4 linked regions of the Elephas maximus indicus genome follow. The protein of the gene in region 4 interacts with the protein of the main gene of each other region in a pairwise test. Links are inferred from orthologs where the notes say so. Each region holds a gene or a part of one and is shown on either strand. Other genes may lie near its edges.

Region 1 (7,228 bases), on a different chromosome or scaffold from region 4:
AACACTGGCCAGAAAATGTTCGAATGCCATTTCAACACATGGAAATAGTTACATTGATGCCTAAATTGCCATTTTCTGCAAAAAGCTGTGCAATGCTGGTGTCAAAGACTAGGCAGTCACTATTCATGATGGCTGTCGCAATTCCCTCGTGAATAGAACGAGGAGTCGCTTCCCAAGTCAATCGCCGCCTGTGACCATTTAGCTCAAGTCGATAAGCAAAATTTTCAGCTTGCTTGCGCGTTCCTATCAGCTGTACAATTGCGAAGAACTGCTGGTGGCCGTCGTATTTTTCCTGTTTCTCCAAGACTAACATGAAGTGAAAACCAAAACAGGACTGCATCATCACCCAGTCAACAGCACCAGGAAGATTAATGTCTGTAGCCAGGAAAACGATGTCCTCTCCCTGCAGGGTCGTGATGGACTTGTGCTGATGCATCAGGTGGGGCATGACAGCATCCAAGGAGCCCTGCCACTTACAGGAAGCACCGGGGCACGGACAGGAGTAAGGCCGAAACTCACAGAGCTCTTCGTGGTCTGCTTTTTCTGTGTGTGGCAGAGTTATTTCACATCCAGAAGAGGCGTATTTACAAGGGAAAAGTACTGAATTGGCCACTTTCTCCATAGCCAAATTGCGAATGGACCCCAAAGGGCCCCGGCAAGTCGGACAGCACGTGAGCTTTGGGCGACAGTTGCTACAAACAAGGTGGCCACTCTGACACTGCAGAATGGGCGGTAACACATAGTCAAAGCAGACTGGACACTCAAAAAGGCTCGCCAGGTCATTGTTGGATGCGGTTGTGCCAGTCAAGGCAGGCACCCTCTGGGATGGCGTACACTTTGACGTACCAGTAGGTAATGCTGTGGCGGTCTGACGGCTCATTTCTGTAAAAAATAAAAACACAGAAATAAAAATAGAGTTACAACTGTCATTTGTTTTGCAAATAATATTTACATGCCAGAAATTTTTTTACTATAAGGAGAAGAACAAAGGAAAATAAATAGGGTTAAATTATACTAAATATGCATTCTGATCATTAAGGGTCCTACTGTTTTCAAAACGCTCCAGGATATGTTTAGGATTGCTTTTTTAAAAAAAGAAAAATGGGCTTCACTGCCAATTCCAAAACCACATGGAATAAGAAATGAAATGCTGAAAGAGAAACTGAACTGTAAACAACTAGGAAACACCATACGAGCAGCTTAAGTCCAATCACAAATCCTCCCTCTGAATTCAGTTAACCCCACTCAGTCGCTTTCCTTTCAGCTGCTCATAGTTATAGGAGTTACAGGTGAGTCCGACAGCTCAAATGCCAAGGAACCACCAGAGTACTGACATGAACGCTTCGAAGGGTGAACAGTGTTTGTTCTAGTGGTATATTTGGAGGATGAGGAGAGGCAGTCCTGAGAGGAAGGGCCTGCTGCCATCCCAGCATCATCTAAGAGAGCTCCCTGAAACACTAACATGGCTAGGTATAATCCTGTCTCCTAGGGGTCAGTGCCCTCCTCAAAAACGAGAGCCGACAGGAGAATGGAAGGGCCATCCTCAATGAGTTTAACATAAATCACTCTGTTCATTCCACATCAAAAAATATAAAAGCACCAGAGAGGCACAGAGAACACTGGCGATGGGGTAAGGATTCCTTGCACCCTGAGGTTCACCTGTGCTGCCGACACACTTGTTAGCAGTGTAATAGTAAACATTATTGAAGAACTAAATGTTACCTGGGAGCAACGATCAACAGTATACCTAGTCAGCCTAGATCAAAAACAAGCACCTTTCCCCAGGTATCTACCTTTGCCAGGATATGGCAGGTCACTGTCTAGGGGGAGGGATGATGAAGATCAATCATCTGCTCCTGTCCTAAGAATGCCGATAACTCTACACTAAGGTACAGCAAATTTACTGATTCCTCTCAGTTATAACTGTTACTCCATTGCAAAGAATTTATCTTTTAAGAAACAATGCTTGTTACCAATATGACCAGGTAAATACGATTTGGGGTCTAGATTACTCAAATGATTAACAATAGATACCTTAAATGCAGGTTAAGGGTATTAAAAAAAAAAAAAAAGATCAATTCCATGGTTAATAAGAGGATATCCTAAAGTTTGAGGGGAAACAGAAGCACAGCAGAATCCCTTCAGAACGTGGCTCACCTGAAGCCCTGACGTTCTATCCCAACATGGGGACCAGAGAGCTCTGTCAGTCAGTTCCCCTCCATGTAGGCTCTTTGCGCATCTGATGATCTACCCACTGTCAGGTGTAAGACAACGGGCTTAGTACTGCCACACAACACCCTAAAAGTCGCGCCCGCTGAACAACAGGACACTGCGGAGTGATTGCTTGGGCAGAAAGCAAGGCCAAGCCAGCAGGGGCTTTCGGGTCACTAAACCAATACAACTAAGGACATCGAAGGCCCGTAAACTGAAATTGTAATTTAACATAATAGAGCTACCAAGCAAGAAAAACACTGTTGTTCAATTGCTTGACCTAGTTCGTTATGCATTCACCGATAGTTCACGATCATGTTACAACAAATTATTTTTCCAAACGTCGTAGAAGGTACAATTTGTATTCCTATTCCAAGTGAAATGTGGTGGAGGTGTTACAGAGAAGTAGCTGCCCAAAACCCCAGAACTCCAAAGGTGCGACCCAGTCAGTCCCCAGCCATACAGCAGCTTTGCAGTAAGCACCAAGGGCTCAACCGTCTTGACAGTCCTGCAGAAGTTACAACAAAACCTCAAGTTTGATGTAAAACGAGATCAAATGGAACGTCCCGGCTAACCCCGGGAAGCGCTGTTATCATGGTGGGGCTGATCCGGGCAGACTCCACTGACTTGACAACATACAAGTCCCACAATGTAAGCAACCCAGCCAGTACCTTTTCTCTCCCTTGTCCTAGCTGCAGGCAGACAAGGGAACAAGCCTCCCCCCAACGAGTAGAGAAAAGGCAGGGCAGGTTTCCCCGCCATGAGAAGTCAGGCTGCTCACGGCGCGTCCTCATCACAGAGGCCCCTCCGGACACCCCCTTGTGTTCCCAAGCCCGGAAGACTCCAGCTCGAGCCCGAGATCAGGTTCTACAGGAACAACGGCAGGTGTCCTACTCTGCACAGGCACGAGGAATCAGAGTTTCCCACCCCGAGCAGGGGCGACCACGAGCAGGCGCGACCACACTCCGGGCTCGCTCTAAGTCGCCTGTGTCTCCAAACACGGGCGCATCGTTGAGCTGCCCGCGGCGCCCGAAACCGTCTATCCCGGGAGCCTGTCCTCCCCAGACTCATGAGTGGGGCTCCCGCCAAGACCGGGCAAAGGACGGGCCTACAGGGGTGCGCAGAGGTGGCTGGAAAAGGAAGTGCGCTCTCCAAGTCCGGAGCTTCTCCAGGGTCCACCCCACAGGGAAAGAAGAGCCATTTGTAGGCGGAAGCTGCAACGCCCGAACCGTGATGCCGAACTCCAAGCTGCGGCGCCGCCGGCCGGCCCAGTCCCCGCCGCACCCAGGGAGGTGGCACCCAGGGAGGTGGCCGTGCCACAGGGACGCGCCGACGCTCCTCCGCAGGCCGGGCGGAGCCACGGGGACGCGACGACGCCCCGCCCACTGCCTCTCCGCACTAGGGGCGGGGCCTCAGGTGTGCGCACGCTTCAATTAAAACTCCTGCTTTAACCTCCAAACGGCCCTTGTAGCCTCTTGCCACGCTGGGAAAGCCAGCTTACACTGCCTCGTTCAACTCCCAGCGGCCAGCTTTGTTTTTAAACCACCACGTGCCCTGCCGCAATGAAGCCTTGGGCATCCGACATCACTGCATCAGGCAGCCGTTCAGAGGTCTCACCTGTCACCGCACCACGCTTAGAAAAGGCTGTTAACCAGTCACTGTAGCGTGGTGGTTAAGTGCTACGGCTGCTAACCAAAGGGTCGGCAGTTTGAATCCGCCAGGCGCTCCTTGGAAACTCTATGGGGCAGTTCTACTCTGTCCTACAGGGTCGCTATGAGTCGGAATCGACTCGACGGCACTGGGTTTGGTTTGGTTTTTAGTATAACGCTTAGAAAAGCCTGTTAACCTGTCACTGCATCACGCTTAGCAAAGCCTGTGGAAGCAGCAGGACCAGGAACCCCGGGCGGTGAACGCAGACTGCTCACTTTTCTGCAACCAAGTTTAACTTATCACCCCTTCCCCCAAATCGTGGGTGCAAGCACTTCAAACTCATTATTTAATATTAGGCTACACAAAACATCATTAGGAATATATAGGAAATATAACCAGAAATATAGCCCATTTCCCACATGCAAATATAATTACTATTACCTGCATTTTTACTTTCTAATACCCATTCATTCTAGATAAGTCTTAGGGATACAGGGAAGACTTCAAACGTTTTAGGCACCGACACTTTTCCAAACGTAATTAATAATTCTGTATAAAATTAACATCTAAAGTAAGCTGATGGCTCCCAAAGGAGCAGCACACACCCCTAGAGCACTCTGAAAACAAGACAAACCCCTCAATCTAGAAAAAGTGGGAGAGTTTTGGAGTCAAACTTGAATTCAAATCCAGGCTGTAAAACTGGGATAATACTTTCAGCCTCACAGGCTTTTGTCTAAATTAAGGGAAAATGGCTAATTTATGTACATTATGCCCACTAACAACATCAATTCCGACTCATAGCAACCCTATAACAGGACAGAGTACAACTGCCCCATAGGCCTTCCAAGGCTGTAATCTTTAAGGCAGCAGGCAGCCACATCTTTCTCCCTTGGAGCAGCTAGTAGGCTCAAATGGCCAACCTTCTGGTTAGCAGCTGAGTGCTTAACCACTGTACCACCAGGGATTCTCTACGTACATTATAAAAAAAAACCCAAACCCATTGTCATCGATTCGATTCCGACTCAGAGAGACTGTACAGGACAGAAAAGATCTGCCCTATTGAGTTTCCAAGGAGCACCTGGTGGATTCAAACAGCCAACCTTTTAGTTAGCAAACAAGCTCTTACTGAATTCATTTTTAGCACAATAAACCTTAGTAGAATTTCTCAACTATGTACAATATTTTTTTACACTAGAGCTAGAAAAATTCATAAAAACATTTCATTAAGGCAAGCACACAGAACCCAAAGTTAGCAAAAATTCAAAACTTAACAAGAGTTTGCTATTACCTACCATTTCTAAGCCTACATTTCAATCAAACCCAGTTAGGTATAAAGTTTAAATGGATTTTAACCTAAATCAAAACATATTAGCATCTTATTACAGTCAGACCATTTAACTATTGCTCTGCCATATTAACATAAAGCAGAAGGAAGAGATGGATTTAAACTTTTGTTCTCAATTTCATGTGGCAGTTATTTGTTTCCTTTTATAAATGACTAAGAATTTCTCTGACTTGTCACAACCCAGTGCCTGGCTACTCTAATTAATCCACGATGTTTTGCTTACCCTTTCCTTTTAGTTTACAAATGTTACTGTGCTCCCCCAAGTAATGCCCCCTCCTTCCAAAGGTGTCCATGTATTACAGCAGCAATATGAAACTAATGGTTACTTAAAATTAAAAGCTTAGAATGAAGAAAAGTAGTCAGACATGGGAAGAGATCACGATGTTATCATAAAGCAAATTGCAAACCAAACATTCCTAGAAATCACACAGTGAGGTTTATAGTAAAATAAAATTACAGCTGTCAGATTAGTGATCACTGGGTTAAACTGAATCCCTCAATCCAAAACATCTAGGGCTTTCCTCCTCCTCTCAACTCTTCTTTGTGAAAAGGGCGCTTCTACATTTGGATGATATGGTGATAGCTGGAGTCCCTGGGTGGTGCAAACAGTTAACACATTCAGGTGCTAACCAAAAGGTTGAAGGTTAAGAGTCTACCCAGAGGCACCTTGAAAGAAAGGCCTGGAAATCTACTGCTGAAAATCAGCCAGTGAAAAACCATATGAAGCACAGTTCCACTCTAATGCCCACGGGGTCACCATGAGTCAGGGCCAACTCCAAGGCAACTCGTGGTGGGGACAGGTATCACAGCATGTACAAAATGTCGGTTAAATTATAATGCTAAAAAATGCTTCTCTTCTCTGACAAAAATTAAGGCAAGTCTCAAAACTTCAACAGCTTAACACACGAAGTCAAAAATCAAACTTCGTTATAAACATAACAATGTTGAGGAAAACGAATTCACCTGTTTTTAGTTTCCAGACCTGTGGCAAAGTGATGTGGTATTTTTTTTTAAGTACTATGTATTTTTTCTCCTAAAAACTCCTTTTATTTTTTTTTTTTCCTGAAAATAATCCTCAGAACTTTGTGGCTACAGAAGAAAAGTTATGTGTCTAATAAAAGAGATGATTTGAGTGGGAAAAGCCAGGGGGGCAAAGGACCTGATACGTGATAGAGGTCTGAACAAACATGATAATACAGTAAAGGAAAGGGAAAACCCCAACTCAAGTGTGTAGAGCAAAGTACATTTGCTTTTCACGACCCAAAATCACCACACTCTGAAGCTTCCATGCCTGCTAACACCAGTAAGCATCAGTTGCCATACAGTAGATTCCAATTCACAACGACCCCATGTGTGTCAGGCGTACAACTGTGCTTCATAGGGTTTCCAATGGCTGAATTTTTGGGAAGCAGATCCCCAGGTCTTTCTTCCAAGGTGCCTCTGAGTGGACTCAAATCTCCAACCTGACCACGTATTCTGCCAAAAGACAGCATATACTTACTCAGCACCTGTTAGGTACTATGCAAGATGCTGAAAAATGCCAAATAGAAGTGAGATGCCTGTGCAGTGTCTGAGAGGAGCTGTCATAAGGCAGCCGATATACAAAGAGGGACAAGGTTGGAGATTTGAGTTGTTGGCATACAGATGACATCTGAAGACACAGAGAAGAGGAGCTTGCCTAAAATTAGAAGAAAAAAAAATCCAACATTTAAAGTTTCACTGAAGACAGAGGTAATCACCCCTAGACGACAATAATTTTCAAACTTCACTGTGCTCACTAACCATCTAGTGGAGCCCTGGTGGCACAAATGGTTAAGTGCTCAGCTGCCAACTGAGAGGCTGTCAGTCGAACCCACCCAGTGGCTCCACAGTGGAAAGACCTGGCCATCTGCTTCTGTAAAGATTACAGCCAACGACACCCTATGGGGCAGCCCTACTGTTACCTGGGGTCACTGTGAGCTGAAAATGGCAATAACAGTAATCATCTAGGGATCTCGTTAAAACACAGATTCTGATTTAGTA
Region 2 (8,126 bases), on a different chromosome or scaffold from region 4:
TGGACCTTGGGGTATGAGGGATGGACCTCGGGAGCCAGACTGCTTTTTTCACTGTCTGTCAGAGAAAGAATTAGTTAGGAAGACTCAAGAAAAAGCAAGGAATATATGTTGGAGTGGGGGAAAAGAATCAGACAAGCTCATGAGAAGCCAGGCAGAACGCAGGAGTTTAAGAAAAGAGCCACTGAGATAAATAAAGACTTGAAAAAAATTCTGGATGTGGAATAAAATGCTGGAGTATGAGGGGAAACCCTTGAGCAACATATAGTGCTCCAGGGAGAAAACGAAGGATTTGAAAAGGGGACTGCCCAAAGGGGGTGAGAAGGCTCTGAAGCCCGTATAAGAGTCTGAGGGAAGCCCTGAGTGAGAAGATAGGGGGAGGTTCTGGAGGAAGGAGTGGGAAGACCTCAGTCAAACCATAAAAAATTGAAAAACCCCATGTCCGTTGCCATCCAACCAATTCCGACTCATAGTGACCCTATAGGATAGAGAATTGCCCCACGACGTTTCCAAAGAAGCGGGGCCTTGGTGGCAGAGCAGTTAAGAGCTACCATTGCTGACCACAAGGTCAGCAGTTCAAATCTACTCGCCACTCCTTGGAAACCCTATGGAGGCAGTTCTGTTCTGTCCTGAAGGGTCGCTATGAGTCGGAATCGGCTTGACAGCAGTGGTTTTTTTCTTTCTAATCTTAGAAATAAGGATGGTGACACTTCATCTCACGTACTTTGGACATGTTATCAGGAGGGATCAGTCCGTGGAGGACATCATGTTTGGTAAAGCAGAGGGTCAGCAAAAGAGAGGCAGACCCTCAACAAGATGGACTGACACACTGGCTGCAATAATGGGTTCAAGCACAGCAACAATTGTGAGGATGGCGCAGGACCAGGCCGTGTTTCATTCTGTTGTACACAGGGTTGCCAAATTGGAACTGACTCGATAGCACCTAACAACAACAACAATCTTTACAGAAGCAGACTGCCACGTCTTTTTCCGATGGAGTAGCTAGTGGGTTCAAACCTCCGACCTTTTAATTAGCACTTAACCACTGTACCACCAGGGCTCCTTAACCAAGTGATAAGGAATCTAAAACAAATTCTAGAGAAAAAGATATACTCTGAGAGAAAGCAGAAGAAATAAGACTCTCTAATAAATCTGAGTAAATCCTTAAAGCTGGGAAGCTTGGAAAGATTTCTGGGAGAGAACTTTGTAAACAGGGAAGCCTTTGAGGGATGCTTGAGAGAAGAAAGCAGGTGCTGGAATGGGGAGAACACTGGAGCATGGAGGAAAAATTTGAGAGGAAAGGAGGATTTCTGAAGTTACCTCTAGAAGCAGTGAAAAGTGAGAGCACCTGAGGGGAACTGCCACATGAAGAAGTTCTTAGAAGCCGATTTCAAAAAGGCTCCCCAAGGGCAGAGAAAAAACCTATAGGGAAGGCTCCTAGAGGCAGGAGTGGGCCTAAGAAGATCTCCTTAGTACGGGAGTTCTGGGCATAAAGCTTTGGGGACGCCTAAGGGTCGCTACGAGTCAGAATCGACTTCACTGCAATGGTTTTTTTTTTCAGAGGCCCAAACAGGAGTCCTTGGGTGGTTTAAAAAAGGAGCCCTGGTGGCACGGTGATTAAGTACTCAGCTGCTAACTGGTAGCTGTTCAAACCCACCAGTGCACTCCTGCAAAAAAGCTGTAGCTGTCTGCTTCCATAAAGATGGACAGCCTAGGAAACCCTATGGGGCAGTCCTATTCTGATACAGTCGCTAGGAGTCGAAATCGACTTGATGGCAATAGATTTTTGGTTTGGGTGGCACAAGGGTTAAGCGCTCAGCTATCAGCCTAAAGGTTGGCTGTTCAAACCCATCCAGAAGTGCCTGGGGCGTGGAGGGGGGGAGCCTGGTGATCTATTTCTGATAAGTCACATCCTTGAAAACCCTATAAAGCAACTCTACTCAGCACACATAGGCTTGCCGAGACTCAGCATCAACTACATAGCAACTAAAAACACCAACAGGCTCAAAAGAGTTTTAGGAAATTACAGAGCTGGGGTCGAAATAACTAAAACAAATCGAAGGGGTGTTTGGAAGGCAAGAGTTGAGGACTGTAATGTACCTAAGGGTGGGCTCACAGAAGAGCCCTTCTGAGAACCCAAACCCAAACCAAACCCACTGCCATAGAGAGTCGATTCCGACTCACAGCGATCCTATAGAACAGACTAGAACTACCCCACAGAGTTTCCATGGAGCGTCTGGTGGATTCGAACTGCCGACCTTTTGGTTAGGAGCGTTAGCTCTTAACTACTACGCCACAGGGTTTCCTGAGAACCCGAAAGCCCTACAAAAGGGAAAAGAACAGGAGTCTGGGGAAAGCCCTGAAGAAAAGTCTAAACGGGAAACATATCCTGGGTGGAGAATGGGGGCTGTGAGTGGCAATCGCTGGCGGGTGCGGGAACCCCGGGACAGAAGAGACCGGGGGAAAAACTCCAGCCTAGAGTGAGGCTCCCGTAGAATCGAGGACCACCTGGCTGTCCTGCAGGCCCGGGGAAGGTGAAGGAGGACGCCGGTTGGAGGATGAGACGGCCCGGGGCCCCGTGACTGGCCCCGGAGCCACCGCCCCAACCGCGCCGCGCCTGCGCACCACGTCCCGGGGAGGGGGGAAGAAGCCAGCGTGCAGGCCGCCCGTCGCCCGGAGCAACACCGCCCTCCCGGCGGAATCGCCAGGTCAATAGAGGGTGGGGTGCGTTCCGGGCTCAGGGAATTCCAAGGGCGGGGTTGGGCGCGGAGCCGACGCGCACGCGCGCTACAGCACGACCGCGCCCCCACCCCCGCTATGGCGCACATGCGTAGAGGTTAACCCAGCGCCGCCACACCCCGGCGACGCTCATGCGCGGCGTCCGTTGGTACGACGGCCGAGAAGGCCTCGGGGCCCGCGGGGCGTAAAACCAAAAGGAGATCCCCCCCCCGCCGCCCGCCCGCTCGCTTGTCGTTCCTCGTACCAGCCTCAGGCGTTTGTTCTCCGGACTCGCCAGCAGTGGCCCAAAGGAACGTGAACACGGCTGCGAGATTGCTGGGCGACCCAGCTGGTTCTCCTCTTCCTTTGGCTTCGACGTCCCGATCGCGGCGTCTTGACGTCATTAGGCGGTCTTAGCCGCCTTCCTTGCCCCCACACCGCGCAGCCAATAGGCGCCGCTAGTGTGAATTGAGCCCGCCCCCCACCTCCGCTTACGCACATCTTGCGTTGAGTGTTTTAAGGCAAACAGGAAGAAAGGGTGGAGGTGGCCTCCTGAAGGAAATGCGGCTTCCGCAGTTAGAAGCTGGTGGGGTTTTTGCGATTCGTCGCAGCCTAGGTTGAGCTCAGCCAGGGCTAGCATTTATTATTCCTATTTGTCAACTGGTATCATGAGAGGTGTAAGACTATGCATAGTACAGTGATGTGGAAGCCCGAGGAGGGAATGATTGACTCAAGAGGGGTTAGGAACCGGCTCCATCCGGATGAGGGGAGCGTTCCTAGTAAATAGACCTGGGATGGCTCACCTGGCGGAGGACCCGTGTATTCAAACATAAAAAGGCGGGTAACCAGCGTGGCTTTGGGTTGGGAGGAGGTAGTTGAATGTGGCTGCAGAATAGAATGGTGTGGGGTCCCGGAATGAGGAGAGAGGCCTGTAAGTGGGCAGGTGCAAGATGCGGAAAAAACCTGAAGAACTCGGGCTGAAGAACTTGGACCTGAGCCTGTGGGTAGTGGGGAGCTACATGCCTGAAGCCCGTCAAAGCCTGTCCTAAGTCCTCGTGCCTCAACCGTCCACTTCCTCTCATTTGCTATTGTTGAACCATTTATCGGCATTTTAAATATCCTGTTATTAATTGGGAAACCCTGCTGGCGTAGTGGCTAAGTGCTACGGCTGCTGACCAAGAGGTCGGCAGTTCGAATCTGCCGGAAGGCGCTTCTTGGAAACTATGGGGCAGTTCTATTCTGTTCTATAGGGTCACTATGAGTCAGAATTGACTTGACGGCAGTGGGTTTTTTTTTTTTTTTTTTGGTTATTATTGATTGTGGAGCCTTGGTAGCGAAGTGGTTAAGAATTGGGCTGCTAACCAGAACGTGGGCAGTTTGAATCCACCAGCTGCTCCTTGGAAATCCTGTGGGGCAGTTCTGCTCTGTCCTATAGGGTCGCTATGAATTGGAATCGACTTGACGGCACACAACGACAAGAACGTTATTGATTGTGGAATCCTTGAGTGGTGGAAACTGTTAACTTGCCCTGCTGCTAACCAAAGGTTGCCGGTTTGAGTCCGCTCAGAGGTACCTAAGAAGAAAGGCCTGGTGATCTGCTTCTGGAAAAACCAACCATGGAAAACCTTATAGGGCACAGTTTTACTTTGACACACATGGGGTCGCCATGAATCAGCATTGACTCCATGGCAACTGGGGGTTATTTTTTGTTATAATTTTTAATTACCTTTTTGAGCCAGGATTCTTAAACTCCTATGGCTAGCCTCCTTATCCATAAAAATGGGCGTGAGAATAATATCTCGTAGGGTTTTGTGGAGGTAAAATGAGTATAATCACGGAACAAGTAATAGCTATCATTTCTATGAATATCATGACTGACTTGCTTTTTATTTTTTTAGCAGCTCATGAACATCCTTTCAGGTTAGTTCATTCTTTCCGATGGCCAGATAATACTGCAGTATATGAATTCATTCATGTATTCATTTAATATGTATTGAGTGTCCACTATGGTTGTTTTTGAGGCCAAACCTCCAGAGCCTCATGCTTCTGAGTTGTGAGAGGAGGAACCAGTAAAATGCCAAATAACGGGACAGGATGAGTAAACACCACCCATCCCATCTCAACACCTTCTGCCTCATCTTTTTTTTTTTATTAACTTTTATTAAGCTTCAAGTGAACGTTTACAAATCCAATCAGTCTGTCACATATAAGTTTACATACATCTTACTCCGTACTCCCACCTGCTCTTCCCCTATTGAGTCAGCCCTTTCAGTCTCTCCTTTCATGACAACTTTGCCAGCTTCCTTCTCTCTCTATCCTCCCATCCCCCCTTCAGACAAGAGCTGCCAACACAATCTCAAGTGTCCACCTGATATAATTAGTTCACTCTTCATCAGCATCTCTCTCCCACCAGCTGACCAGTCCCTTTCATGTCTGATGAGTTGTCTTCGGGGATGGTCCCTGTCCTCTGCCAACAGAAGGTCTGGGGACCATGGCCGCCGGGATTCCTCTAGTCTCAGTCAGACCTTTAAGTATGGTCTTTTTATGAGAATTTGGGGTCTGCATCCCACTGATCTCCTGCTCCCTCAGGGGTCCTCTGTTGTGCTCCCTGTCAGGGCAGTCATCGATTGTGGCCGGGCACCAACTAGTTCTTCTGGTCTCAGGATGATGTAGGCCTCTGGTTCATGTGGCCCTTTCTGTTTCTTGGGCTCTTAGTTGTCCTGTGACCTTGGTGTTCTTCATTTTCCTTTGCTCCAGGTGGGTTGAGACCAATTGATGCATTTTAGATGGCCGCTTGTTAGCATTTAAGACCCCAGACACCACATTTCAAAGTGGGATGCAGAATGTTTTCATAATAGAATTATTTTGCCAATTGACTTAGAAGTCCCCTCAAACCATGGTCCCCAAACCCCCGCCCTTGCTCCGCTGACCTTTGAAGCATTCATTTTATCCCAGAAACTTCTCTGCTTTTGGTCCAGTCCAATTGAGCTGACCTTCCATGTATTGAGTGTTGTCCTTCCCTTCACCTAAAGCAGTTCTTATCTACTGATTAATCAATAAAAAATCCTCTCCCTCCCTCCCTCCCTCCCCCCCTTGTAACCACAAAAGTATGTGTTCTTCTCAGTTTTTACTATTTCTCAAGATCTTATAATAGTGGTCTTATACAATATTTGTCCTTTTGCCTCTGACTAATTTCGCTCAGCATAATGCCTTCCAGGTTTCTCCATGTTATGAAATGTTTCAGAGATTCGTCACTGTTCTTTATCGATGCGTAGTATTCCATTGTGTGAATATACCACAATTTATTTACCCATTCGTCCGTTGATGGACACCTTGGTTGCTTCCAGCTTTTTGCTATTGTAAACAGAGCTGCAATAAACATGGGTGTGCATATATCTGTTTGTGTGAAGGCTCTTGTTTCTCTAGGGTGTATTCCGAGGAGTGGGATTTCTGGGTTGTATGGTAGTTCTATTTCTAACTGTTTAAGATAACGCCAGATAGATTTCCAAAGTGGTTGTAGCATTTTACATTCCCACCAGCAGTGTATAAGAGTTCCAATCTCTCCGCAGCCTCTCCAACATTTATTATTTTGTGTTTTTTGGATTAATGCCAGCCTTGCTGGTGTGAGATGGAATCTCATCGTAGTTTTAATTTGCATTTCTCTAATGGCTACTGATCGTGAGCATTTTCTCATGTATCTGTTGGCTGCCTGAATGTCTTCTTTAGTGAAATGTGTGTTCATATCCTTTGCCCACTTCTTGATTGGGTTGTTTGTCTTTTTGTGGTTGAGTTTTGACAGAATCATGTAGATTTTAGAGATCAGGTGCTGGTCGGAGATGTCATAGCTGAAAATTCTTTCCCAGTCTGTAGGTGGTCTTTTTACTCTTTTGGTGAAGTCTTTAGATGAGCATAGGTGTTTGATTTTTAGGAGCTCCCAGTTATCGGGTTTCTCTTCATCATTTTTGGTAATGTTTTGTATTCTGTTTATGCCTTGTATTAGGGCTCCTAGGGTTGTGCCTATTTTTTCTTCCATGATCTTTATCGTTTTAGTCTTTATGTTTAGGTCTTTGATCCACTTGGAGTTAGTTTTTGTGCATGGTGTGAGGTATGGGTTCTGTTTCATTTTTTTGCAAATGGATATCCAGTTATGCCAGCACCATTTGTTAAAAAGACTATCTTTTCCCCAATTAACTGACACTGGTCCTTTGTCAAATATCAGCTGCTCATACGTGGATGGATTTATATCTGGGTTCTCAATTCTGTTCCATTGGTCTATGTGCCTGTTGTTGTACCAGTACCAGGCTGTTTTGACTACTGTGGCTGTATAATAGCTTCTGAAATCAGGTAGAGTGAGGCCTCCCACTTTCTTCTTCTTTTTCAGTAGTGCTTTGCTTATCCGGGGCTTCTTTCCCTTCCATATGAAATTGGTGATTTGTTTCTCTGTCCCCTTAAAATATGACATTGGAATTTGGATCGGAAGTGCGTTATATGTATAGATGGCTTTGGGTAGAATAGACATTTTTACTATGTTAAGTCTTCCTATCCATGAGCAAGGTATGTTTTTCCACTTAAGTATGTCCTTTTGAATTTCTTGTAGTAGAGCTTTGTAGTTTTCTTTGTATAGGTCTTTTACATCCTTGGTAAGATTTATTCCTAAGTATTTTATCTTTTTGGGGGCTACTGTGAATGGTACTGATTTGGTTATTTCCTCTTCGGTGTTCTTTTTGTTGATGTAGAGGAATCCAAGTGATTTTTGTATGTTTATTTTATAACCTGAGAGTCTGCCGAACTGTTCTATTAGTTTCAGTAGTTTTCTGGAGGATTCCTTAGGGTTTTCTGTGTATAAGATCATGTCATCTGCAAATAGTGATAACTTTACTTCCTCCTTGCCAATCCAGATACCTTTTATTTCTTTGTCTAGCCTAATTGCCCTGGCTAGGACTTCAGGTACGATGTTGAATAAGAGCGGTGATAAAGGGCATCCTTGTCTGGTTCCCGTTCTCAAGGGAAATGCTTTCAGGTTCTCTCCATTTAGAGTGATATTGGCTGTTGGCTTTGCATAGACGCCCTTTATTATGTTGAGGAATTTTCCTTCAATTCCCATTTTGGTAAGAGTTTTCATCATAAATGGGTGTTGGACTTTGTCAAATGCCTTTTGTGCGTCAATTGATAAGATCATGTGGTTTTTGTCTTTTGTTTTATTTATGTGATGGATTACATTAATGGTTTTTCTGATATTAAACCAGCCTTGCATACCTGGTATAAATCCCACTTGATCATGGTGAATTATTTTTTTAATGTGTTGTTGGATTCTATTGGCTAGAATTTTGTTGAGGATTTTTGCATCTATGTTCATGAGGGATATAGGTCTATAATTTTCTTTTTTTGTAATGTCTTTACCTGGTTTTGGT
Region 3 (7,557 bases), on a different chromosome or scaffold from region 4:
GCCCCTCAATACCTCCCTATCCCCCACCCTCACTTCCTTCCAGCTACACTGGGCTCCTGGAAGGTCCACAAACGTACTAGGGGTGCTCCCTCTTAGGCCTTTTGAACTTGCTGTTCCCTCTGCCTAGACCACTATGAGTCCACTTAGCCACATGACTCCTTCCCTCACTACTTTCAGATCTTTACTCAGCCATCACCTTCCCAGGGAGGCTTTTCTACATGCCCTATTTAAAACTGCAACCCCACCCAACACGCCACATTCCTCTTGTCTGCTTTCTCACAATATATATTTACTTCTTTGTTTTGCTTCTGCCTTTCCCCCCTAAAATTTAAGATCCACGAGGGCAGGGATTTTTGCCTCTCTTGTGTACTGCTGTAGTCCCTGCGTCTAGAACACTGTCCAACAGAAATATAAAGGGAGCCACAAATGTAACTTTTCATTGTCTAAGATCTACCTTTAACCCAATAAATCCAAAATGTTAACATCTACACTATACATATTGTAATGCAAATAATACAAAAATACCAAAAAGATGTGTTATTTTTTTTATACTAAATACTCAAAATTTTATACTTACAGCACATCTGAAACACTGGACAGCCACATATGGCTAGTGCCCACCATACTGGACAACGCAACTCCAAAGAAATGCCTGGCATAGAGTCGGCACTTATAGTCATTGAATGAAAACAACATTTTCCCTGAAATAAGAGCCAACTGTGGCATAGTACGGAGCCCTGGTGGCGCAGTGGTTAAGCATTCAGCTGCTAACCAAAAGGTCGGCAGTTCAAATTCACCATTCACTCCTTGGAAACCCTACGGGGCAGTTCTACTCTATCCTATATATAGGGTTGCTCTGAGTCGGAATAAGGTTTTTCTGGGTTTTATGAGTCGGAATCGACTCAACAGCAACAGGTCTGGTTTGGTTTTATGACACAGTACAGGGTTTTCTAAACCTCCATTATTCACGTTCTATAAGCATGATTTTTGCTGTGACCTTTATTATTAGTGTTTTTCCTTAAAATGCCACGTATTTTTATACTTGAAAAAAATATTTTCAAACAATGTTTTATTATGTTCATAAATGAAAAAGAACAACTCTGGGGATAAAATGACCTGGGCATGACTCCCTGCTTAGTCATTCACTAGCTCTGGGACCTAAAGCAAAAACATCTCTAAGTCTCGGCTTCTTCATCTGTCAAGCGGGGACAATATTTACCTTCACAGGATCCTGGTGACGATTAAATGAGATGTTTGTATAAGCTCTTTGTAAATGGGAAAGTAGTGGAAGAGACTGAGAAGCCAAATGAAGCCTTTCTCCCATGCCTATCATTTTCATATAGATCAATAATAGAAAATAGCAAGCCTATCAGATAAGAGCAAGGATAGACGATGTGAGTGCAAATCCCTTGTCTGCCACTTACCAGTGTGTGACGTCTAGAAATTAATTTATTCTCTAAACATTTGCCAAGTGCCTACAACATGCCAGACCCAAGGCTAGCAGCCAAATAAGCCAAATAAGATATGAACCCTATCCTTGAGGTATCTGTAGGCTAGTAGGGAGAAAGGAGGAATCCCTGGATAGCAAATGGTTAAGCTCTTGACTACTAACTGAAAGGTTGGCGGTTTGAACCCATGGAGAGGCATCTCAGAACAAAAGCCTGGTGATCTGTTTCAGAAAGGTCACAGCTTAAAAACACTGTGGAGAGCTGTTCTACTCTGCAACACATGGGGTGGCCATGAGTCTAATCCACTCAATGACAACTGGTTAAAAGGGAGAAAGGGACAGCAAACAAGAGCGAGCAATAAATTGTTAACAATCAATTCATCTCTCTTAGGCCTGTGTTCATTGTGAAATGGGAATAACACCTTTCCAACCTAACTCACAGGACTGCTACAAAAATTAATTTAAATATGTTCGTCAAATACTCCAAAAACTTGGACTCATAAACGTAAGTACTTTTTTCCCAACTTGTAACCCAAAATGATTCCTGTTTCTGTGAAGGTCCAGTTTGAACATTCCCTGCAGTTACACTGCACCATGAAGTTCATTTCCCTTTTGCAAATTTCGGTAAACGTGAAGAGAAAGAGGAGGGATGAAGAGCTTTAACGCAGATATTTAACCTCAAAATCATGATTCAGGCCAGAGTTCTCGCAAACACAACACAGACCTCTCAGTCACCCCTACCTAGTTACAGTTTGTCAAGATAAGGACTCACGTGGTAAGGGAGGCTGAATAATTTAGACCTAAGAAAAATGAAAAGTCATAAAGCAGTACAGGTGAACACTCCTCCGTCCCAGGTTTCAGCAGACACTATGTTGCTGAGATAATGCTGGGCTGGGTTGCGGTCAACAGTTTAGACTAAAAGCCATTTTACCGCCAAAGTGCCCATACTTTTTTTTTTTTTTTTTAAAGCCTTGACCATGACCTGATCTGGGAAAATCTCAAAGAAAGATGATCTGAAAGGCTAGGTTCCCAAGACGTGGAAACCCTACCAAGCAGGACTAAAGGGCTGGTGAGGACAGCAAAATGATCAAGATTGTATGATGCCTCCTTAAGTTTATAAACTGAACGGAACCGGAATCAAAGTCTCTGGTAACAAACATTTCCAAAGAGGAAGGAAAGAAAGAGACTCTCAGACGGGGTTCAGGAAGCACCTTCATCCAGTTCTCCCTCTTTCCCTCCAAGTCATTCTCACGCACCCTGTTCTAGCCCAGTTGCAAAGCACCCCTTCCTCCTCTCCTGATCCCTCCACAAAGGTCACTCCTTTCCATCCCTGGGCACCTAAGGTCCTCATCTTTCGGAATGACCTGCTCCCCGCTGCACCCCTGGCTGCCTTAGCGCCCTCCACCGAGAAACCCCCGCGCGCGGCCCGCGGCGCGCCCACCGACTCGGGCAGGAGCCGGGACACCCCTCCTCGGAGGCCGGAACCGCCGCGCCAGGCCCCTCCCACAGGAAGCCACCGCCCCCCGGCGCCCGAGCCGCGCCGCCCCCGGTCCACCCCGTGCCGCTTGTCGCCCCCCGCCCGCTCCGCGCCGCCCGCCAGCCGGTTGCGTTGCCCACGCCCGCGCTCACTACCTGCCGTGACCACAGAAGCGGTTTCCAACTCCTCTCCCACTTCCGCCTCCCACCGCCCTCACTCGGGCAGGGTCACGTGAGAGCGCGCGGTCACCTGACTCGGAAGAGGCTGGCCGGGCTCGCAGGTGTGGGCAGCCGAAGCTTGGCAGCGGTGTTTTTGGTCTTGGAAAGACTTTCTCATTGTTAGTATTTTTCAAAGTGTGAGGGTTTTCCATCGGCAGGCTGCTCCCCTAGCAGTCATGAATTGAGGGTTCACTGCGCGCCAGGTGTCTCTTTACCGTTCCCATCAATCCTGTTGAGGCGGGTATTATCATTACCCCCCTGCACAGGTGAGAGGAAAAGATTCAATGAAGTAAGGTTGCCAGAAAAATACAGGATGCCCAGTTACATCAGGGCAGATTATCCGATAGGCAAGGTAAGCATGGTACTTACTTTGCTTACCAGATCATCAGTAGAGAACAAATCTCACATGTTTTCACCACATAAAAGATTCTGCTTCTAGGTATGGCTAGCATCTGTCTGTTTCCCAACACCACAACACCTTCCTGCAGAATCAAAGCTTCTTTACAAATGCACACTCCCTGACAGGAGTGAATGACCCAGTAAGCAAAGTAAGCACAAACTTACTTATGCTTGCTACTCTGTACTGAACAATTTTATCATGTAGTGAAACCGACTCTACCACATCTACCAGTGAAACCCTGCATACCTTGCCTATTGAATAATCCACCACTATAAACATCACTTTTTTGTATATGTCGCATCTGATATTTAAGTATGTCCTCCACCACTATAAACACCACTTTTTTGTGTGTATGTCCCATCTGATGTTTAAGTATGTCCCGGATATTTCATGTTGTTGCTGTTGTTAGGTGCCATGGAGTTGGTTCTGACTCATAATGACCCTGTGTACAACAGAACGAAACACTGCCGGGTCCTGTCCCATCCTCACAATCGTTGTTATGCTTCAGCCCATTGTTGGAGCCACAGTGTCAGTCCATCTCCTTGAGGGTCTTCCTCTTTTCCAAGGACCTTCTATTTTACCAAGCATGATGTCCTCCTGCAGGGACTGATCCCACCTGATAACATGTCCAGAGTATGTAAGAGGTAGCCTCGCCATCTTTGCTTCTAAGGAGCATTCTGGTTGTACATTCTCCAAGGCAGATCTGTTCATTCTTTTGGTGGTCCATGGTATGTTCAATATTCTTCTCCAGCACCACAATTCAAAGGCGTCAGTTCTTCTTCGATCTTCTTTATTCATCGTCAAGCTTTCACATGCACAGGAGGCGATGGAAAACACCATGGCTTGGGTTAGGCAACACCTTAGTCTTCAAGTTGACGTCTTTGTTTTTAAACACTTAAAAGAGGTCTCTTGCAGCAGAGTTGCCCAGTGCAGTGCTTCCTTTGACTTCTTGACTGCTGCTTCCATGGGTGTTGATTGTGGATCCAAGTAGAATGAAATCTCCGACAACTTCAGTCTGTTCCCAATTTATCATGATATTGGTTATTGGTCCAGCTGTAAGGATTTTTGCTTTCTTTATGTTGAGGTGTAATCCATACTGAAGACTGTGGTCTTTGATCTTCATCAGTAAATACTTCAAGTTCTCTTCACTTTGAACAAGCAAGGTTGTTCATCTGCATCAGCATGTTGTTAATGAGTCTTCCTCTAATCCTGATGCCCCGTTCTTCTTCATATAGTCCAGCTTTTCAGATTATTTGCTCAGCATACAGATTGAAGAGGTATGGTGACAGGATACAACCTTCATGCACACCTTTCCTGATTTTAAACCACATGGTATTTCTTTGTTCTATTCAAACGGCTGCCTCTTGAACTATGTACAGGTTCCTCATAAGTACAATTAAGTGTTCTGGAATTCCCATTCTCTGCAATGTTATCCATAATTTGTTATGATCCACAGAGTTAAATGCCTTTGCATAGTCAATAAAACACAGGTAAATATCTTTCTGGTATTCTCTGCTTTCAGCCAGGATCCATCTGACCTGATCAGCAATGATATCCCTGGTTTCACATCCTCTTCTGAATCCAGCTTGAATTTCTGGCAGTTCCCTGTCAATATACTGCTCCAGCTGCTTTTGAATGATCTTCAGCAAAATTTTACTTGTGTGTGATATAAATAATATTGTTTGATAATTCAGTGGGATCACCTTTCCTGGGAATAGGCATAAATATAGATCTTTTCCAGTCAGTAGATGTCTTCCAAATTTATTGGCATAGACAAGTGAGTACTTCCAGCACTGCATCCATTTGTTGAAACATCTCAGTTGGTATTCTGCCAATTCCTGGAGGCTTGTTTTTCACCAATGCCTTCAGTGCAGCTTAGATTTCTTTCTTCAGTACCATTGGTTCCTGCTCGTATGGTACCTCCTGTAATGGTTGAACGTCAACCAATTCTTTTTGGAATAGTGACTCTGTATTCCTTCCATCGTCTTTTGATGCTTCCTGAGTTGTTTAATATTCCCATCATAAAAAAAAAAACCAAACCCATTGCCGTCGAGTCGATTCCAACTCATAGTGACCCTATAGGACAGAGTAGAGCTGCCCCACAGAGTTTCCAAGGAGCGCCTGGTGGATTTGAACTGCCGACCTTTTGGTTAGCAGCCGTAGCACTTAACCACTACACAACCAGGTCTTCCATTTCCACCATAGAATCCTTCAATATTTCAATTCAAGGCTTGAATTTTTTATTCAGTTCTTTCAGCTTGAGAAATGCAGAGCATGTTCTTCTCTTCTTGTTTTCCATCTCCAGGTCTTTGAACATGTTGTTATCATACTTTGTCTTCTCGAGCCGCACTTCGAAATCTTATTTAAACTCTTTTACTTCATCATTTCTTCCTTTTGCTTTAGCTACTTGGCATTCAAGAGCAGATTTCAGAGTCTCTTCTGACATACCTTTTGGTCTTTTCTTTCTTTCCTGTCTTTTTAATGACAGTCTCTCGCTTTCTTCATATGTAATGTCCTTGATGTCGTTCCACAACTCATCTGGTCTTCGGTCATTAGTTTTCAATGTGTCAGATCTATTCTTGAGATGGTCTCTAGATTCAGGTGGGATATACCCAAGGTCATACTTTGGTTTTCATCAACTTGTTCTAATTTTCTTCAGTTTCGACTTGAACTTTATATGAGCAATTGATGGTCTGTTCCACCGCCAGTCAGCACCTGGCCTTTTTCTGACTGATAATTTTGAGCTTTTCCATTGTCTCTTCCGACAGATGAAGTCAATTTGATCCCTGTGTATCCCATCTGGCAAAGTTCACATGTATAGTCACCATTTATGTTGGTGAAAAAAAGTATTTGCAATGAAGAAGTCGTTGGTCTTGCAAAATTCTATAATGGGATCTCTAGCATCGTGTCTATCACCAAGACCATATTTTCCAACTACTGATCCTTCTTTGTTTCCAATTTTGCATACCAATATGCAGTAATTATTGATGCATCTTGACTGCATGTTTGATCAATTTCAGACTGCAGAAGTTGGTAAAAATCTTAAGTGTCTTCACATTTAGCCTTAGTGGTTGGTGCGTAAATTTGAATAATAGTTTTATTAACTGGTCTTCCTTATAGGTGTATGGATATTATCTTATCACTGACAGCATTGTACTTCAGAATAGATCTCGAGTTGTTCTTTTTGACAATGAATGCAACGCCATTCCTCTTCAAGTTGTGGTTCCCAGCATAGTAGACCATATGATTGTTGGATTCAAAATGGCCAATACCAGTCCATTTCAGCTCACTAAAGCCTAGTATATCAATGTTTATGTGTTCCATTTCATTTTTGATGACTTCCAATTTTCCTAGATTCATACTTCATACATTCCACGTTCTGATTATTAATGGATGTTTGCAGCTGTTTCTTCTCATTTTAAGTCATGCCATATCAGCAAATGAGGGTACTGAAAGCTTGACTCCATCCATGTCGTTAAGGTTCACTCTACTTTGAGGAGGTAGCTCTTCCCCAGTCCTCTTTTGAGCACCTTCCATCCTGAGGGGCTCGTCTTCTGGCACTATATCAGACAGTGTTCCACTGCTAGTCATAAGGTTTTTACTGGCTAAATCTTTTCGGAGGTAGACTGTCAGGTCCTTCTTCCTAGTCTGTCTTAGTGTGGAAGTTCAGCCAAAACCTGTTTGCCATGGTTAGCTCTGCTGGTATTTGAATACCGGTGGCATACTTCCCAGCATCACAGCAACACACAAGCCCCCACAGTATGACAAACTGACAGACAAGTGGGGGAAATACTGCATGGGATATATTTATACTAAGGAGCTCTGGTGGCACAATGATTAAGTGCTAGGCTGCTAAATGAATGGTTGGCAGTTATAACCCACCTAGGAACTCTGTAGGAGACAAGACCTGGCAATCTGCTCCAATAAAGATTACTGCCTAGGAAACTCTACGAGGCAGTTCTACTCTGTCCTATGGGATTGCTATGAGTTGGAATCAACTCTTTGGCACACAACA
Region 4 (7,337 bases):
GTTAATAGAGAGGGGTGAGCATAATCTTTCCAGGAAACTTTTTGACAATTAGAGTCACAAAATAGCTGGCACAAAGTCCTAGGTCTTCTGAACTTTCAAATGATGCCCTACATGGTAGAACAATCCTTTTTTCTTCAACTACAACTACTACCACATTTTTGAGTTGTTGTGTAAATCGGTTTTAAAATATTGTCAGCCCCAAAAATTCGAAGAACAAAACCCAATATAATAAAAGGGAAAAACAATCTAAACAAAAGCACAAGATGACTGTGATTGGCTGTGATCTTCATCTTTACAGCAGGGCGCCCATCTCTCCTCCCATCACAGAACCTGTTCACCACATCAGTCAGGGGATCCAAAAGGTCAAAGAAATATGAGAATGTACCTGAAGAACACAGCAATTCGTGTGCCCTTCCCCCTCACCTCAACTTTTTTTTATCAGCTGAAATCTGAAAAAATTAGCGAACAGTTGCATTGAAGAAGTAAAGCCGTCATAAAAAGGTAGGCAAGTAATCCCAGGATAAAGGGAGACGGGAGGGACTGGGATTGGACTGTATGTATGTTTCAGAACCTAGGGCACGTTCTAACACCAAACAGGTGAGCTACACTCCTTGCCCTAGCGGCCAGTCACTGTAACTAACATTTATTAATCAAAACCCACTGCCGTCAATTTGGACTTATAGCAACCCTATAGGACACAGTAGGGTTTCCAAGGAGCAGCTGATGGTGACTTTTTGGTTAGCAGCCAACCACTGCATCACCAGGGCTTCAATATTTGTAAAGCACCTACTATGTGTCTGGCAACACGCTAAGCACATTCACCTTGATTACCGTATTGCAAAGGGAAAATGATAGACCAAATTGGGAAACTGGAAAAGGGTTGCGAGAAATAGGAAAAGAGCCCCTCATTAAGAACAGGAAAAGAAATTAAGGGAGAAGTATGAGAAGGCTGGAGTCCATAGATGGTGCAAACAGTTAAAAAGCTTGGCTGCTAACCAAAGGGTTGGAGGTTTAAGTCTACCTAGAGGTGCCTCGGAAAAAAGGCTTGGCGATCTACTTCAGAAAAAGAACCAACTTGATGTCAACCGGTTTTTTTTCCTTTTGTATAGGAAGGATATCAGAAGAAATACAACTGAGTCACAAGGCTTTCTGGGAGGGATTTGCAGGGTGAATTTCAGGATCATTGGCCCAGCCCTTCTCATTCCAGACCTGCCTGACTGGCAAACCAGCTCAAAGTGTCTCCTAGAAGACAATGCAGCCCAAACCAGCACGCACTGGCCTAAACCACCTTAGAATCCAGGGTTGTCAGAAGGGCCTCAGAGATCATCTAGTCTATTATCCTTTCATCTTACAATGAAGCTGAAGCTCAAAGAAAGAGAAGTGACTTGCCCAAGGTCACAGACACAACCAAGACTAGACCCAGGTCTCCTGGTTCCCATTCCAGAGTACTTCCACTGCACCAGGCTGTGCCTCGGCCCTTTCCCCTGGGACAGCCCAGTCATTCCTACAAGGTCAGGGAAGTAGAAACTTGAAAGTTAGCTGAAGAAAAGGGTCACTGTGGGGATAGTCTGGAAAAGAGGAAAAGAGATACTCCTCAGGAAGGGAGACTCAAAGAGAAATTCAAGTTTAAGAAAACAGAAGGACTTCAGTGCAGAGAAGCAAAACTACTGTGTAAAAAAGTCCTTAATAACAAGGGAGGTAGAGGCCAGAAAGAACCGCCAAAAGATGGTATAACTTGAGAGCATTTTCATTCTCCCACCATGCCTGGGAGAAGGGACTTGGAGACGCCTACGACCTGCAAGTAACATGTCTACCTGTTTCAACAGACTGCTGGATGGAAGGGGGTGCACCCTTTGGGGAACCTCCTATGCACCAGCAGCACCAGAAACATCCTCCGGAACCCAGCCAAGAGCTAGGAATTTAGGGCCCTGATGCATCCCAAGGACACAGGCACACACTGAGGTCCAATCAAGATTCTGAACCCCCACCTAGTTGGACATCCCACTGGACCATTGCCATGGCAACAAAATGGTAGCCTCCCCCCCAAGAGTCTATCCCAGGGATCCATCTGGCACAAAGGGAGACCTTAGAGCTCAAAAGAGTAACGAAGACCTCTCCTATACAGGGACCATGGCTAGAAGCACAGTGGGTGCTCTGGGGATTTAAGGGTGGGGTCACAGCTTGTTTGAAGTGCCTATAAAGCCACCCTCCTTGAAACCCTTTCTCCTTAACTCTCCCTTCAATGCCCCTGTCTTCCTCCTCATCAGTTTTACAAAGACCCACACTACTGGGCCCCAATGCCCCTCTCCCAGAAGTAAACTGTGTCTGGGATTGAGAAAACAGGGTCAGAAGCGACCTGCAGTAAGGGAGAGAAAAATAAGTCACAAAGGCATCACCTTCACACTCCCAACCCTCAAAGCCCCTGATTATTCTTCTCAGAAATGGACCTCTCCTTGCCCATTTCTGAGCCTCCATCTCCGCAGGTTCCACTTCCCTTCCTCAACAGCCACAATCTCTCTCTTTCCACCTACCACACCCCTTCCCCATTTCCCACTTCCCTTCTATTCCTAACACCCCCAACCCCTGGCCCTGAAAGCCAGGCTCCGGGCCTTTGAGGCTTTTCCTGGAGCCCTCACGCCCCACCTCGCTGCCATCTCTCCAATCTTTTCTGCCTCTGCCCCAATCCCCCGTTTTTCCTCCACCAACACCCCCACATCCCCACCTCGGCGTTCCTCTTCTTTTGGTCCGGGGGTCCTGGCTACCCCCTTGCCCCATGAGTCCTCCTCCTGAGCCCCTCCCACTTCTCTCAGCCTTCGAGATCCTCTGGGTGCCCTGGCCCCCATCCCTCCTCGGGGCCGGCCCCACCCCCAGAGCGCCCCCCCCCACCAGCCTCAGGCTAGGCAGTGCCCACAGTAGGGGGACCGAATCGGGAAAATAACAAATGGAGGCGGCAGCGGCGGGAGGGGGAGCTGGGAGGGGTGGGGGTGGGGAGCCGCGGGCCAGAACCCGGCGGGCCGGAGGCCGGGGCGGCAGCACAGCTTACCTGGTTGTAGCTCGGGACGGCTGGCTGCCTCCTGGCGGGATTCGGGGCTCCGGCACCTCCGGGGGGCGGCGGCGGCCGCTCCCCGCCCCCCTCTCCTCTTTCCGGCTTCAGTCGCCGCCGCGACGGCGACGGCGGCGTCCCCGACCCCCCCGGAGGGCGGCCCCCATGTCCCTTTTCCTCCCCACCTGGTCCCGATCGCCCGCCGTCCCCTGAAACAAATCCCGTTGCCGCTCTCCCTCGTCCCCTCCCCAGTCGCGCCGCCTCCCCTGCCGCCCGAAAGCCGCGGCCGCGCCGCTCGCCCCCGCGGCCCGGCCGGCCCTCCGCGCCGCTCGGATCCGCCGCCGCCGCCGCCGCCGCGCCGGCCCCGCGCAGCCCGCACCCGCGCGATCCCCGGCCCTCTCGGCGGCCTCCGCCCGCGGCCCCCGCCCCTTCCCGGGCGGTCGTCTCCTTCGCCCACTCCTAGCCGCTCCCCGAGGCCAGCGGTCCCCCGAAATGGGTCCCGGCTGGAGGCCCCGGCCCGGCGCGGGGCTGCGGGCGGGCTGGGCGGCGCGTCCGGCGACTCGCACAGGAAAGCGGACGGCGAAGGGAGGGAGCTTGGGAGAGGGGGATGGGAGAAGGGAGGAAGAGGGAGAAGGAGGGAGCGCGGAGGAACGGAGGAGAGAGGGGCCAGGAGGGAGACGCGAGGGAGGGAGCGCGAGGCAAGCTGCGAGGGGGGAGAGAGGGGGATCCGGAGAAGGGGAGGCGCTGTGTGAGTTGGCCGAGACCGAGGCCGAGGGGGCCGGGGCGCGGGGAGGGGTTCGCCGTGGCGGAATGTAGGGTGCCGCCGGCCTGACGCGGGAGTAGGGCTGGCCAGGAGGGGCTGTGGGTTGTAAGGACAGATATGGGGGAAGCTGGAGAAGTTTGGGGGGATGGGGTTTGTGGCAGAGGTGAAGTGGGAGGAGTTTGGGGGTACTGGGATAGAGATTGGGGTAAAAGGGTTAGAAAGAGATTGAGAAAATGGAGCTACAAGGATCTTTGGGGACAATGAAGTGTGTGGAAATGAGGAAAGGTGAAAGAAACTTGGAGTGATTGCGTCTGTGGCAGAGATGAAGTGGGAAGAGTTTGGGGGGTTATTACCAAAGAGAATAGGATGAAAGTTTGGGGTCATAAGAAGGGAAGAAATTGAAAGGATGGAGACATATATATGAGGATGGGGTTTTGGGAAGACAGTAAAGAGTTTAAGGGGTGATTGGTGTTGGGAAAGGAATAGGGAATATAGGAATTTGGGGGTGCTTTTTAAAGGAAAGCTGGAGAGAAGATCCCAGAGGAAATGTCAGTATGAAGAGGAAAGGGAAAGCACGAAGAGCCTTAAGAAGAGGTGAAAGAGGCAGAGGAGACTAGGGTTCTGAGTGGGACAAGAGGGTGGAAGACACAGGGCTAGCTGGATGCTGGGGTTAAGTGAACTGAGGGCTTGGGTTTGCAGGGCGAGGTAGATAGAATTGGGTGGAGGGATTTAAGGAAGATTGGAAAAATAAACAAGGCCTTTGGTGGCAATATGGAGGAAGGTAGGTCATTGATGGGGAAGACAAGAGAAGGGAGAGCATTTGAAGGAAATGATAGACACAGAGGGGACGTGTCCAGGTGTGGGTAAGGGATTCAACTTATAGGACTGGGAGACCAGCCTCAGGCCCTTCTGTGTGGTGGCTTCTCTATTTTCATTCTCAAATCTGTTTGAAGTCACCACTGATTGTACCTTGGGCCACAGGGAAGGGGTCAGTGGGGATTAGGCTTGGTATGGAGCCAAATCCCTAGGTGTCCTGGTTCCCTAACTCCATTCTAAGGTAGAGACAATCACCACTACAGACCAAAAGCTCATTCTAACGCGACTCTCATTCTCCCTCCACTGCTCTCCAGGCAGTCTCTGACGCTGTCAGTCTGCCAGCCATTCCCAGTCTTCAGCCATGAAGACAGCACCCCACAAGCCGCCTTCTTCTGGGCTCCCTCCCTGGGCCCACACCAAGCAGCTCCATCTCCTAGGACAAAGGACACCAAGACACTGGGTGATTTTTGGCAGCTGAGATTGGGAAGGCCAGAGAAAGGGAGGGAGGGAGGCTGGGAAACAGGAAGAGCTGGAGCTGGAGTCTGGATCAGGAGTCCTCAGCTCTCCAGATTTGAGGTGAGGGTAGAGTTTTTGTGGGGTCAGGCCAGCCAGAGGCCCATGTTAGGCCCTGAACTGGCAGGATCCCCTGCCATCTGAGAGGGAAGGAGGTTGGCTCTGTAGAAACTCAGTAGATGTCGCCTCACATTTCCCTGGGCCAGGTTCAGCCAACACATGTCTGGGAGGACCCAAAAGCTTACAGTACATGGATTCTAAAGCACTGGGGATGGAAACAAGAAGGCTTCCTTGGCCTAGGAATGAATCACCACTCTTAAGTCCCTCAAACTGGTTAGCAGTCACTTACCACTCCATGCCCACCTTCCTTATCCCTCCCCAGCCTCCCTAAGACAAAGCCAGCCTGTCTTCCTGGGCTCCCCAGACTTCTTTCCTCAGTGTTCCAGGATAGCCCCACTCCTCCTGGCCACCCCCCTCAACTCTGTTCCAAGACTCCTCCTTCCCCCTCCCACTCCTCCGCACAGCATTTCCTCTGTACTTCTCAGTTCGGTCTCCCACTGGGCCCTGGCCCAGGCCCTTCCCATCTCCCTTCTAGGCTGAGATTTCTCTTGTTCTTTAACCACGAAGAGGTGGGCAAGGATGATGACAGATATATCTGAGCCCAAAAGGAAAACTGACTTAGGTGTAAAGTAGGAATGAGGGGGGTGGGGATAGGGAGAGGCAGCAGAGAAACTGGGGCCTACCCCCTCCAATTCCTCACCATGTGAGGGCCAGGCTCACAATCCAGCTTCAGGGAGCATTACACACACACCTCACCATCCCTCACCCCAGCTCTCCTTTCTGGCCCCAGCCCCCCACAACCCACTGGTCTCCAGGCAACGGCACAAAAGGAAAATGGAGAGAGGGGCCTGGGAGGCCCAGGCACAGCTAGCTGTAACCCAATCCAACCCAATACCTGAGGGGGGGGCAGGGAGCATGACTGTCAGAAGGCAACAGAGCAAGGAGGGAGGAAAGAAAGGACACTGGTTAGAAAATGTGGCTCAAACCAGAACCAGAGTAATCCTAATAAGTCTGGTAGTTACTGAAGAAAGATGGAAGTCATGGACCTCAGAGACAACAGAGGCACAGAGAAAGTATGGTGAGCCCCAAGAGAGGCAGAAAGTCCTGCTAGGCAGAAATGAAAGAAAGATGAGATGCCCACACTGCAACGTGCACGGAGGAGTGGGGGCAAGAAGCTCTTTGAACTGAAAATGGCTGAGGTGTCAGGGACCCAGGAGGAGAGGGCAGAAATGGGCCCTGCCTATACAGAACTGAAATCCTTTTAGCCCTGGAGCTGTACAAGACAGCAGAGGGAGCCCAGGACCAGAACTTAGAGTGGGAGGCCCACAGAGAGTACCCTTGAAATTCTTCCCACCCCGACTACAGCAGTGTCCCGCACGGTGTCGTATAGAACATCGGCTCCCTCTAGTGGCCACAGCTCCCCATGGGCAGCCCCTACCTGCTAATATGTGCCTTCCCAATCCAAGGCACTGGGCTGCCCACCCCCTTCTCCCTCTGGGTGGTCCCTAGGCTGAGCATTCCAGTGCTGGGGCTCCACAGGAGCTTAGGAGTTACAGGGGATCTCTAGCCATATACTGGCACCCTATGCACAGTCTGACCCAGCCAGAGGGCCTGTCAAGCACTTCAAGTCCTGAACATTCAGGACTTAAGCTTCCTCAGGCCCTTCCCTACATGGCCTGGTACCAGTCTTCCCAGTTCCCCATCTTGCAGGAGGTGATGGCCACACAGTCCTGCTCCATCCCAGAACCAGCCAGGATTTTGTTTGGGAGAGGCTCAGTATGGGAGCTGGTCCAGTCCACAGCTTTATACCTTTGATACTTTCAGGGACTTCTGGATCCTGGCTATATCACTTGCTGAGTCAATTCTAACTCATGGGGATCCCATATGTGACAGTAGAACTGTGCTCCATAGAGTTTTCAGTGGCTGATTTTTCAGAAATAGATTGCCATGCCTTTCTTCTGAGGCGCCTCTGGGTAGACTCAAACCTCCAACTTTTCAGTTAGCAGATGAGTGAATTAACCATTTGTACCACCCAGGGACTCCAGACCCTAGGTTAAGAACCCCTAATGCACGTAGGTCTTGGGGCCAAGCTTGCCACTGAGAAGGCAGGGGCAACTTGGGTCCCAACTGGCTAGGGTGGAC

What was found.
Region 1: the proteins of ATN1 (region 4) and SIAH1 interact in a two-hybrid assay, tested with the Homo sapiens proteins (2 studies listed by BioGRID and IntAct). The link is inferred for Elephas maximus indicus from reciprocal best matches to the Homo sapiens genes ATN1 and SIAH1.
Region 2: the proteins of ATN1 (region 4) and LENG8 interact in a two-hybrid assay, tested with the Homo sapiens proteins (2 studies listed by BioGRID and IntAct). The link is inferred for Elephas maximus indicus from reciprocal best matches to the Homo sapiens genes ATN1 and LENG8.
Region 3: the proteins of ATN1 (region 4) and WWP2 interact in a two-hybrid assay, tested with the Homo sapiens proteins (2 studies listed by BioGRID and IntAct). The link is inferred for Elephas maximus indicus from reciprocal best matches to the Homo sapiens genes ATN1 and WWP2.

The regions. Positions count from the first base shown.
Region 1 is NC_064839.1:7,689,225-7,696,452, reverse strand, and holds the start of SIAH1 (E3 ubiquitin-protein ligase SIAH1), read right to left. Parts: upstream 3,231-7,228; 5' UTR 2,974-3,230; coding exon 2,883-2,973; exon of another isoform or gene 2,158-2,882; intron 883-2,157; coding exon 32-882; 3' UTR 1-31. UniProt on the Homo sapiens protein: E3 ubiquitin-protein ligase that mediates ubiquitination and subsequent proteasomal degradation of target proteins.
Region 2 is NC_064829.1:92,407,180-92,415,305, forward strand, and holds the start of LENG8 (leukocyte receptor cluster member 8), read right to left. Parts: upstream 3,113-8,126; 5' UTR 2,981-3,112; intron 56-2,980; 5' UTR 1-55.
Region 3 is NC_064839.1:36,065,639-36,073,195, reverse strand, and holds the start of WWP2 (NEDD4-like E3 ubiquitin-protein ligase WWP2), read right to left. Parts: upstream 3,157-7,557; 5' UTR 3,080-3,156; intron 1-3,079. UniProt on the Homo sapiens protein: E3 ubiquitin-protein ligase which accepts ubiquitin from an E2 ubiquitin-conjugating enzyme in the form of a thioester and then directly transfers the ubiquitin to targeted substrates.
Region 4 is NC_064822.1:63,725,767-63,733,103, reverse strand, and holds the start of ATN1 (atrophin-1), read right to left. Parts: upstream 3,261-7,337; 5' UTR 3,044-3,260; intron 2,672-3,043; exon of another isoform or gene 1-2,671. UniProt on the Homo sapiens protein: Transcriptional corepressor. Recruits NR2E1 to repress transcription. Promotes vascular smooth cell (VSMC) migration and orientation. Corepressor of MTG8 transcriptional repression.